3 linked regions of the Macaca mulatta genome follow. The protein of the gene in region 1 interacts with the protein of each later gene in a biochemical or structural test. Links are inferred from orthologs where the notes say so. Each region holds a gene or a part of one and is shown on either strand. Other genes may lie near its edges. The genes, in order: COL1A1, SPARC and THBS1.

Region 1 (3,643 bases):
GGCCCCAAGGTAAGATGGTGACACTCCATGACCACAGCCTTGTCTGCTGCTTCCCTGCCCCATCCTGGCCATTCAGCTGGAGCTGGCCCATATTCCTCTGCTCTCCCCCGCCAGGGTGACCGTGGTGAGACTGGCCCCGCTGGACCTCCTGGTGCTCCTGGTGCTCCTGGTGCCCCTGGCCCCGTTGGCCCTGCTGGCAAGAGTGGTGATCGTGGTGAGACTGTAAGTAGCTGGGCTCCAGTTCCCTGTGTCTGGTCAGGCCAGGGACTCTCCAGGCCTCCTTAGAGGCCTGGGGATGGGTGTCGGACTTCACCCAGGCAGGGGGAGGAAAGGAGATCCTGCAAGATGTCGGGGCCTTAATCCAAAAAACTGAGTTAAAGCTCAGCCTCAAGTCCCCTCTCCCAGACAGGACCCCCTCTCCCTTGAGCTGGCCCCAGCTCTCATGAAGATTGCAGTGGGGAGGTTTCCCTGGGAGTTGGGAGAGATGGCCACAGTGGGAAGGGGCTGAGGAGAGAGAGATGCAGCAGGGGGAGGCCTCATCCTGCAGCCCCAGCCTCAGCCTCCCCTGGCCAAGATCTCATGCTCTCCTTGCTCTCCTCAGGGTCCTGCCGGTCCCGCTGGTCCTGTCGGCCCTGTTGGCGCCCGTGGCCCCGCTGTAAGTTCCCTGCTGTGTCTCCCACACCTTCGGAACCCTACAGATGCGGACAGTGCCCCACTTGATGCCCCGTCTCTCTTCTAGGGACCCCAAGGCCCCCGTGGTGACAAGGGTGAGACAGGCGAACAAGGCGACAGAGGCATAAAGGGTCACCGTGGCTTCTCTGGCCTCCAGGGTCCCCCTGGCCCTCCTGTGAGTATGCTCAGCCCCTCCCCAGTCCTCATGCTGTGCTGTATGATAGAAGGGGGAGCTTTGCCTCGGTTTCCCCCTCTGGATAGTCACTCTTACCCCTCCCTAGTGAGGACTGGGGTCTGAAGATTTATGGGCATGTCCAAGAAGCTTCTGAGAGGGTGAGGGGTACACAGAGAGGGATTATGGGAGAGGTCTCTGCCTATGGACACCCTGGGGCTAGATTTCCAGAATAATGAAGGGGCATGGGCTGCCCACGCTGCCCTCGTCTCTCCAGCAAGGCCCTCAGGCTACATTTGACCCTCACTGGGCCTGAATTGCCTTTTTATCTGTCCTTCAGGGCTCTCCTGGCGAACAAGGTCCCTCTGGAGCCTCTGGTCCTGCTGGTCCCCGAGTAAGTCATGCCTTCTCTCTCCTCTTCCTGAGTCCCAAGCCCAGGCTCACCTTGGGGACCCTTGCCAGGGACCCAGGCACCCTTTGCCTCTCTGGAGAAGGGTTAAGGGACAGGGAGTGGACAAAGAGAAGAAGAATCCTGAACAAACAATCTGATTTAGCTTTGGCCTCTCTGCTCCCCAGTCCGTCCTCCCCTGGCTCAGCGGCTGGAGCGAGCTATGGCATGTCCTATGGAAAGAGGCTGAAACTGGCTCTATGAGGCCGTGGAGCCAGAGCCAGCAGGGAGGGTGGTGGGCTTCTCCTCCAGAGCTGGGGTTGTTGGGGCTTCTGGCAGCCTTTCTCAAACCATTTCCCCCACTCCAGGGTCCCCCTGGCTCTGCTGGTACTCCTGGCAAAGATGGACTCAACGGCCTCCCTGGCCCCATTGGGCCCCCTGGTCCTCGCGGTCGCACTGGTGATGCTGGTCCTGTTGTACGTAGCCCCTCATCCCCTCTGCTCATGGCCCTCCAGCCCCCAAAGCACTTGGAAGCCGGTAATCCCCACTCTCCTCCCTCTCTGTGCAGGGTCCCCCTGGCCCTCCTGGCCCTCCCGGTCCCCCTGGTCCTCCCAGCGGTGGTTTCGACTTCAGCTTCCTGCCCCAGCCACCTCAAGAGAAGGCTCACGATGGCGGCCGCTACTACCGGGCTGATGATGCCAATGTGGTTCGTGACCGTGACCTCGAGGTGGACACCACCCTCAAGAGCCTGAGCCAGCAGATCGAGAACATCCGGAGCCCCGAGGGCAGCCGCAAGAACCCCGCCCGCACCTGCCGCGACCTCAAGATGTGCCACTCTGACTGGAAGAGCGGTGAGGGCCTGCCCTAGCCTCCCCCTCCCTCCTACTTCTGCCATGCCAGGGTCCCCATGCCCATATGTGCCCCTACCATATGGTGCTGGCTGCTCCACTTCCCTGACTCCACCTTGCCCTGCCCTACCACAGGAGAGTACTGGATTGACCCCAACCAAGGCTGCAACCTGGATGCCATCAAAGTCTTCTGCAACATGGAGACTGGTGAGACCTGCGTGTACCCCACTCAGCCCAGTGTGGCCCAGAAGAACTGGTACATCAGCAAGAACCCCAAGGACAAGAGGCACGTCTGGTTCGGCGAGAGCATGACCGACGGATTCCAGGTGCGTGAGCTGGACCTCAGAGCCAGTGTTAGGAGATGGGCTAGCCCAGTGCTCAGAAGGGACATGAAGTCCTGGAGTAGGTCTCTGCTAAGGGTGATGGACAGAGCTGGGCTGGGAGGCAGGGGTCCCAGGTCCCTGATAGTGGTTCAGACACAGGCTGCCTATGGGCAGGTGGCCCCTCTTGATATAAGGGTGTATTGGGCCGCTCTCTGAGGACCCTGGACAGGGAGGCCAGGCAGGACTAGAGGTTCCTGCATAGCTGCTCACTCTTCCCTCTCTCCCCTCCCCTGCAGTTCGAGTATGGCGGCGAGGGCTCCGACCCTGCCGACGTGGCCATCCAGCTGACCTTCCTGCGCCTGATGTCCACCGAGGCCTCCCAGAACATCACCTACCACTGCAAGAACAGCGTGGCCTACATGGACCAGCAGACTGGCAACCTCAAGAAGGCACTGCTCCTCCAGGGCTCCAACGAGATCGAGATCCGCGCCGAGGGCAACAGTCGCTTCACCTACAGCGTCACTGTCGATGGCTGCACGGTGAGTGGCCAGAATCCTCAGGCAGGGCCCCACCTCTCTGGCCTTGGGCTTTTTGGGCAGGCCATAGTGTCCTCTTTCCATCACTCCCACGTGGTAATGCCCCCTCCCATTGTCTCCGCCCCACCCCAGAGTCACACCGGAGCCTGGGGCAAGACAGTGATCGAATACAAAACCACCAAGACCTCCCGCCTGCCCATCATCGATGTGGCCCCCTTGGACGTTGGTGCCCCAGACCAGGAATTCGGCTTCGACGTTGGCCCTGTCTGCTTCCTGTAAACTCCCTCCATCCCAACCTGGCTCCCTCCCACCCAACCAACTTTCCCCCCAACCCGGAAACAGACAAGCAACCCAAACTGAACCCCTCAAAAGCCAAAAAATGGGAGACAATTTCACATGGACTTTGGAAAATATTTTTTTTCCTTTGCATTCATCTCTCAAACTTAGTTTTTATCTTTGACCAACCGAACATGACCAAAAACCAAAAGTGCATTCAACCTTACCAAAAAAAAAAAAAAAGAATAAATAAATAACTTTTTAAAAAAGGAAGCTTGGTCCACTTGCTTGAAGACCCATGCGGGGGTAAGTCCCTTTCTGCCCGTTGGGCTTATGAAACCCCAACGCTGCCCTTTCTGCTCCTTTCTCCATCCCCTCTTGGGGCCTCCCCTCCACTCCTTCCCAAATCTGTCTCCCCAGAAGACACA
Region 2 (3,643 bases), on another chromosome or scaffold:
AATGGTGACGAACTGGGCTTATGTGAGAATGTCTATATTTTCATAACACAGCCCTAGAATCTTTCTCTCAGTGACAGCCTCAGGCAAACCACGTTCTGGTTGGTGGGTTCTGCAGGGACCTCTCCCATCACTGGGCCTCTAGTCCCAAAACCATCCTTGACAACATCGTGTGTCTGTTACTTCCCTTTGCCCACCTTCAGGCCACCTGGGGAAGCCCACAGGCAGCCAATACCCTGAAATGAAATGAACACAAAGTCTGACTCGGTGAGTATTAGTTTCAAACAGAATACTAGAGAGAAAAGTTGAAGCTGCAATGTGTGTTTAAGGCAGAGTCCAGCAGATCCATATCCACCCATGTGCCAATAAGACAATGGGCAAAGCTACAAATGGCAAGAGAAAAATGGGACTATTAATGAGTGTGGAAAAGGCCTTAATAGTTAAGTTACAGCTAAGAATGTCATGTCTTGGGTTAGAATTTTCATTTTTAGCACCGTTAAAGTATTCACTTAAATCTATGTTAGCACCTTGTCCCCAGGCAGAACAACAAACCATCCAAACATTTTAAACATTGGGGGAAACAGGAAGGGGAGGGTTAAAGAGAGAGAATCCGGTACTGCGGAAGGAGTGGATTTAGATCACAAGATCCTTGTCGATATCCTCTGCAAAGCAAGAAAAGATCAGGGTTAAAAATAAGGCTGTGTCGATGATGACGCACTTCCCAAGGAGTTGGTGGACTCCCACCCATCCCCAGGGACAGGGGTCTAGGTGGCCGTCCAAGGTCACCCAGGAAGTCAGTGACGGAGGAACCTCGCTTTCCCTGTCTCTGGCCTTTCCCTGTCTCTTACACACGCTGCCAAGTTACACTTCCTGTTTCCTCTCTGTGTGCCTGCCAGTTCCCAAAATAGTGTTTAGCACAAGGTGAGTGCTAACGCTGGAGGAAGGGAAAGAGAGAGAGACAGTCGGACGGACAGAGAAGGATCAGGAAGATGCCCAACAAACCGGAGTCAAATAGGCAGACAGAGCAGAGACAGGCAGAGAGGACAGACAACAGACAGACCAAGAGAGCAGAGAGTGTGAGGATGACAAGCCAGAACCCTGGGAGCAGTGCTTCTGCCCATGCCCCTTGCTCCTTTGCTCAGACACTCACTCTGCTTGATGCCAAAGCAGCCGGCCCACTCATCCAGGGCGATATACTTGTCATTGTCTAGGTCACAGGTCTCGAAAAAGCGGGTGGTGCAGTGCTCCATGGGGATGAGGGGAGCGCGCAGTGGGGCCAGCTCGGTGTGGGAGAGGTACCTGCAGGGAAGAAGGCAGGAGAGGGCCTGAGGCATGGAAAAGCTCCACACCCAGCCTAGGGAGGCAACCGGGGAGTTAGCCTGCCCCAGAGCGTGGAGGAAAGGATATTTAAAGCAGGACAAAAAGCCAGAATCCCAGGTCTACCCCTAGCTCTGCCACTGACTGCTCTGAGACTCAGAGAACAGCAGTGCCCCATTTGGAACCTCAGTTTCTCCTTCCAGCAAAGAGGAGGAGTTAGCTGTAATCACTAACAGCCCTTCCAGTTCTACGGTTTCATGGGCTCAAAAACAAAGGTCTTTTTGGTGTGTTTGATTGTTTCCCAATTGGCTGAGAACTGGGGGCACAGAAACTTAAAATCAAAATTCAGCACTTCTGCTATGGGTAGATCAAAATCTGGCATAACACAACCCTGTATATTGTCTATGGACACACATTTATATAACTATAAATGCCTAGTAAAGCGTCTAAAAAGCCACACCAATCTGGTGACAGTGCGGCCGTCTGGGAAGGAATGTGGAAAGGGACTGGGATTGGCCGTGAGGGTTAATAGGAGCTCTAACCATCTTCATAGAGCTTTACTTGTGTATCCTGTAATGTCTGAGAGGGAGGTCCCTTGGATGTCTCCCACTGTCCTCCCTCCCTATTCTCCCTGCTGGCCTTAGACTCCAGAGCATGTGTATAATTTTTTTCTTTGTTCCCCAGAGCCCCCAGCTACTTGTCCCTAAAACACTCTCCCCGCCAAGGATCTCCAGGGAACAATGTGACTCCAGTTGTCTTCTTAACCTCTAGACCTCCCAGCCCCACCCAGCTCACCAAAGAAATCACACAATGTTTGAACTGATAGGAACCTTCTCCTCCCCTTCATTGTACTGGTGGAAAACCGAGGCCCAGGGAGGGGCAGGGATGCAGGCAAGGTCACCTACAGCCCTGGGATGGGAGGAGGAAGAAGTGGGTCCCCTTGCCCAGGCTGGAGCCCTTTCCCAGATGTGCAGTCCTTGCACCCCATCTGGAAGCCTCCCTCCAGGCCCTCTGTTGCAGTGGGATCCAGTTGCTTTGCCTGAGCTCCAGATGTTCCCCCTTGACTTTTCCCCTCCCTGCCACAATGAGTGACTCAGTTGGATCCCAGCCATGGCAAGAGCCTGGGAGAGAAGTGGCCGGGAGATTCCCAGAGCTCAGGAGACCCCAGCCCTCGGGATCACTGGCAGGGTTGGCGGACTCCAGGCACACGGGCTGGATAAAGAGCAAGGGGTGAAAATCCTAGAGAGGCAGTTCCCTGAGTGTGTGAGTAGGGGAGCCCTTCCTTTCTGCTGTGTGTGATGCTCTGCTTCCACAACCCAAGGACAAAGTGAAAACAACTCTGGGAAGGTGCAGGTGTGGCTTGCTCTATCTGAGGCTGAGCGGGAGCTCTCACTTCATCACCACAAGAAAAGTTCAGAAGGTAGTGACAGGGTTATGAACAGAGTATGAGTCCATAAGGGCAAGGACCATGCCAGCTCTGATTGCTGTTCAATCCCCTGCCTAGAATAGTGCAGGGCACAAAATGCACACTCAGTAAGCATTTGCTAACTGACCAGCTGCCTGCTTGTTCTGCAGTGCAGTTGCAAGTGCCTCATAACTCATTTGGACAAGGGACAAGAGTCCTCAAACTGGGGGCTCGCAAAATAGATGGGATTTTTTGGATAACTTCCAGGGTCAGTTGCGCCCTGTTGGGGCTGGGCCTTAGGAGAGGGCTTAGACAGTACCAGGTGGCTGCACTGCCTCTGGATGTTCTGCTGAAGGACAGGAAGCATATGGCTGACACCACCTTGTCCCCTGCCACCCCTTGGAGCCTGGTACTCCTTCCTAACTCACACTCCTTCATTATCCAGATATCCACGCCTAGTACTTGCAGGATTATGGAGCTATTTTGAGCTCCTACTGACTTTCACCTCAGCATGAGAGTGTCTTATTGGTTTCTTTCTCCCAAGTCCACATCTTTTCTCCAGATGCCTCATCTTTCTGCTCCAATCCCCAGGCAAACTGTGGATGCCAGGGCTAGAAGCAGCATAGGCTGCTGAGAGGCTTTCTGGCCCTAGCTAGCGCACCTGCCAGCCTGGAGTCATGGCTCTGTCCACTCTAGGGTCTGGGGTCTTACCCATCAATGGGGTGCTGGTCCAGCTGGCCGAACTGCCAGTGCACAGGAAAGATGTACATGTTGTAGTTCTTCTCAAAGTCCCGGGCCAGCAGCTCCACGGGGTGGTCTCCTGCCTCCAGGCGCTTCTCATTCTCATGGATCTTCTTCACCTGAGGGAGTAGAGACCGTGTGTGACAAGAGGTCCACGGAGATTGTCTGGGCCAGTCGGGCCCT
Region 3 (4,271 bases), on another chromosome or scaffold:
TACACACACACACACACACACACACACACCATCTTGTCATACAACACTCCCACGCAAGAAGAGCGAAATTGCTCTTTGATGAATGTAAACCCTTGGCTGTTTGCAGCAGTCGGGAGTTCTGCCAGGTTTAACTGCTAAGATGGGAGGTGAACCCCAGGGGTTTCCCCTGGCTGTGCTGAGATCCTTATTTGGTCAAGCTTCTACCTATGCCCTGGCCTCGGAGCCAGCCCGATAGCGCTGGACCACGGCACCGGGAGCGAGGCTGCTGACGTCCCATCTCGAAGACATGAATGGAATTCCAGGCAGCTGGAGTCATGCTGGCTTGGGACAGTGGCTTGGAGACCAGACTTCAATGACAGAAGCACTAGGCAGCGGCACTCATGGCAATGCGTGCACCCACAGAAATGTAACCCACACCTCGGTTTCAGGAGCCGAAAAATGAAAAGAACGTTTAGGGAGGAAAGAGGGAAATACAATAATAGGCAGAGAGTAATTTATTACTCTATGGGTCTGTTCTGTAAATAGTTGAAGACTCTGGAGCCAGATGGTTCTGCAAATTCTCCAAACAGGAGTCACGTTAAGAGGCACGAGTGGGCACAAAAACTGTTTTTCAAGACACAATTTCAATTTGGCTTGAGGAAACTGGATACGAGTAAGGTTCCTTAAAATTAGAGTAGAAAGCAGCTGTCCTCCCCGGGCCCCTTGATGAGAATACGCACACCGCCCCCAAGCGGCCGGCCGAGGGAGCGCCGCGGCAGCGGGAGAGGCGCCTCTGTGGGCCCCCGGCAGCCGCGGCAGGAAAGCGCCCGAAGGCAGCGAAGGCCAGCGCGGCTCAACAACCCGCCGGCCCCGCCGACGCCGCGCTCACCTCCCGCGGGGGCGGGCGTGGGGCCACCTCAGGACAGGCGCTAGGGGGACGCGTGTCCTCACCCCACCGGGACGGTGGAAGAAGGTCAGCGAGGGCCCGAGGGGCAGCTATTTTAACGAATGGCTCTCTTGGGGTCTCCTGCGCCCCGTCGGCCCATTTTTCTTTTTACAAATTGGGCCCAGTCTCTAGTGTTCACCTTTCAGCCATCACCCAGGCATTCCGGGAGACCGGCTCGCCCGAAAGCCCCTGCCCCACCCCGCGGGCCCTCCTGGGTGGTCGCCCCAGCCCCGTCCCTGCTCGGGATGCTCGCTGATCACCCCGAGCCCGCGTGGCGCAAGAGCGCTAGCGCCTAGCCCGTGCGCGCCAAGGCTGCGTGGGCGGGCACCGACTTTTCTGAGAAGTTCCAGTGCTCCCAAGCCCCGACCCCCGCCCCCTTCACTTTCTAGTTGGAAAGTTGCGCGCCAGGCAGCGGGGGGCGGAGAGAGGAGCCCAGACTGGCCCCCCTCCCGCTTCCTGCCCGGCCGCCGCCCATTGGCCGGAGGAATCCCCAGGAATGCGAGCGCCCCTTTAAAAGCGCGCTGCTCCTCCGCCTTGCCAGCCACTGCGCCCGAGCTGGTCTGCGAGTTCAGGGCTCCTGCCTCTCTCCCGGTGCAACCTCCACTTCGGACGCACAGGCGGTCCCCGCGTCCCTCCAGCCCTCGCCGCCCTCTCCACCGCTCCCGGCCGCCGCGCTCCGGTCCACACAGGTAAGTCCCCCCCCGGCGGCCGCCGAGGACCAAAGCTGCCGGGGACATCCACCTGGAGCGCTGAGGCTTCAGTCCCTCTGGTGGACCCCGGAACCCACACTCTCCCCGCTCTCCTGCCCCAGCTCGCCCCTCTCGGCCGCTGGAGGACTCTTCGGGACAAGGCTCCAGAGCCATCCTCTCCAGCCTTGGGGTTCACAAACCAACTGATCAGGACACCCCAGGATTTCTTTACTCTCTGAAGTCCTCCTTAAGCCTTTGTATCAGCACTCCAGGGGAGAGTCTGTACTTCCCCGTGCCCTCCCTGCAACTCCAAACTACATTCCTGATCTTGTTCACCTTCGACTTCCAAAAGCCCCCGAATTGTTGGTCTTGCGCCCCCCACACTTTAAAACCAGCATCTCTTTCCTCCACGTCTCTCTCTCACTCTCTCTCTCTCTCTCATGCTCTCTGGAAAGTAATCCTGTTGTCCTTCATTTCAGCAAACGCGGGGTCAAAGAGGGATGGTACCGGCCCTGTCCCCATGCCCAGCCCTGTTTCTGCCCACCCTCCCTGCCTAACTGATCTCTGACCTTGGGCTCTTGTGCTTCCTGCTGTAGGATCCCTGCTGGGCACCAACAGCTCCACCATGGGGCTGGCCTGGGGACTAGGCGTCCTGTTCCTGTTGCATGTGTGCGGCACCAACCGCATTCCAGGTGAGTGTGTGGCACCTTTAGGGGAAGGAGGGACGAAGAAGAGGGGCTGGCTACCCCAAGTGTGCCCCTTCACATGCTGTCCTCTCCCAGCTCCTTTGCTCTTGAGCCTGACTGGACATCAGGACGCAGCTTCACTCTGATCCTGGTGTTTATTCAGCTCTTTCAGTGGCTGCCAGGAGTTCTCACCCCAGCCCTTTGTCTCCACCCCTGAGGACTCAGCCCCCTACCGCTGGTCCCAGCCTCCAAAGCTCACCATGTGTTCTCTCCTGCCTAACAGAGTCTGGGGGAGACAACAGCGTGTTTGACATCTTTGAACTCACCGGGGCTGCCCGCAAGGGGTCTGGGCGCCGACTGGTGAAGGGTCCTGACCCTTCTAGCCCAGCTTTCCGCATCGAGGATGCCAACCTGATCCCCCCTGTGCCTGATGACAAGTTCCAAGACCTGGTGGATGCTGTGCGGGCCGAGAAGGGTTTCCTGCTTCTGGCCTCCCTGAGGCAGATGAAGAAGACCCGGGGCACGCTGCTGGCCCTGGAGCGGAAAGACCACTCTGGCCAGGTCTTCAGCGTGGTGTCCAACGGCAAGGCGGGCACCCTGGACCTCAGCCTGACCGTCCAAGGAAAGCAGCACGTGGTGTCTGTGGAAGAAGCTCTCCTGGCAACCGGCCAGTGGAAGAGCATCACCCTGTTTGTGCAGGAAGACAGGGCCCAGCTGTACATCGACTGTGAAAAGATGGAGAATGCCGAGCTGGACGTCCCCATCCAAAGCGTCTTCACCAGAGACCTGGCCAGCATCGCCAGACTCCGCATCGCAAAGGGGGGCGTCAATGACAATTTCCAGGTGAGGCTTCTTCTGTGAGCCCTGCTCCGTGGGATCATCTGCTAGACAGGTGACCTGCCAGGAGGGCTACAGGAAATCCTGTCTGTAAACTAAAGCAGCAGTTCTCAGATTTTAGGCAGCATGAGCATCACCTGGAGGGCTTGTGAAAGCTCACGCTGCGGCACCCCAGCCCCAGAGTTTGGGATTCTGTAAAACGGCAACTCTAACAAGTACCAGGTGATGCTGATGCTGGTAGTCTGGGAAGCACACTTTGAAAACTACTCAAGGAAACAAGAAATGGTTTTCCTTTAGCAATCAGCCTGTTCAAGCCTTAGATACTCCCTAGACTCTTAAGAAAATAGCTTATTTCAAATGCATTCCCCCAATTTTAATGTTGTTTGAAATGGATACTTTCTATGGGCAGAATCAGTACCACTTTGCTATTGGATTCCTCATGGGGATGCAGCTGGTCTCACATAAAAGGTTAAAATAGCAGTTAGTTGTTGCTGTTACAGCTTCATCTGCGCCTTAACTTCTAGATCTTTGCAAGGGTGGCTTTGAACTCCCACATTTAACTCTTTGACACTGGAAAGTGTCATTATATCCTCTGGGCTTAGGATCAGATTCCATTTCCTGTGTACCCAAGTAGGCTGATAACTGAATTCTTTGTAAAATACTCAAGACTTGGCAGAAGTCACAATTAAGATTTTGAAGTTTTTGGCAATTTATGTTGCTGTGTTATTTTGACATAGTGATCTTCAGACAGCTCTTTGAAGCTTTTAGAACATCTATTGTATGCTTTTCCTAGCATAGAGACAGTCCTTCCCAACCCCATCCCCACCCCGCTCAGCTTTCTACAAGTAATGTGTATCCTCTGCCCACAGGGGGTGCTGCAGAATGTGAGGTTCGTCTTTGGAACCACACCAGAAGACATCCTCAGGAACAAAGGCTGCTCCAGCTGTGAGTACCCCTCTATTTTTAGAGCACATAGGGAAATCGGGGGGAAATTCCACCAAAAACAAGCTGAGGAATTTAGCAATAGTGGTTGTACATAAATTACCCCCAGTAAAATCATTAAGAGGCATACAAAAGTGATCTCAAGGGGTATCATACACACACACATGTATACACACACGTGCGCATACACGC

Evidence for each region.
Region 2: the proteins of COL1A1 (region 1) and SPARC form a complex in vitro, tested with the Homo sapiens proteins (2 studies listed by BioGRID). The link is inferred for Macaca mulatta from reciprocal best matches to the Homo sapiens genes COL1A1 and SPARC.
Region 3: the proteins of COL1A1 (region 1) and THBS1 form a complex in vitro, tested with the Homo sapiens proteins (2 studies listed by BioGRID). The link is inferred for Macaca mulatta from reciprocal best matches to the Homo sapiens genes COL1A1 and THBS1.

The regions. Positions count from the first base shown.
Region 1 is NC_133421.1:59,821,665-59,825,307, forward strand, and holds the end of COL1A1 (collagen alpha-1(I) chain), read left to right. Parts: coding exon 1-9; intron 10-114; coding exon 115-222; coding exon of another isoform or gene 223-247; intron 248-533; coding exon of another isoform or gene 534-601; coding exon 602-655; intron 656-739; coding exon 740-847; coding exon of another isoform or gene 848-887; intron 888-1,085; exon of another isoform or gene 1,086-1,184; coding exon 1,185-1,238; coding exon of another isoform or gene 1,239-1,323; intron 1,324-1,571; coding exon of another isoform or gene 1,572-1,600; coding exon 1,601-1,708; intron 1,709-1,800; coding exon 1,801-2,083; intron 2,084-2,215; coding exon 2,216-2,454; intron 2,455-2,665; coding exon 2,666-2,942; intron 2,943-3,071; coding exon 3,072-3,472; 3' UTR 3,473-3,484; downstream 3,485-3,643. UniProt on the Homo sapiens protein: Type I collagen is a member of group I collagen (fibrillar forming collagen).
Region 2 is NC_133411.1:160,596,750-160,600,392, forward strand, and holds part of SPARC (SPARC), read right to left. Parts: intron 3,580-3,643; coding exon 3,431-3,579; intron 1,297-3,430; coding exon 1,148-1,296; intron 660-1,147; coding exon 631-659; 3' UTR 1-630.
Region 3 is NC_133412.1:16,879,165-16,883,435, forward strand, and holds the start of THBS1 (thrombospondin-1), read left to right. Parts: upstream 1-1,464; 5' UTR 1,465-1,614; intron 1,615-2,210; 5' UTR 2,211-2,239; coding exon 2,240-2,306; intron 2,307-2,583; coding exon 2,584-3,143; intron 3,144-4,006; coding exon 4,007-4,082; intron 4,083-4,271. UniProt on the Homo sapiens protein: Adhesive glycoprotein that mediates cell-to-cell and cell-to-matrix interactions.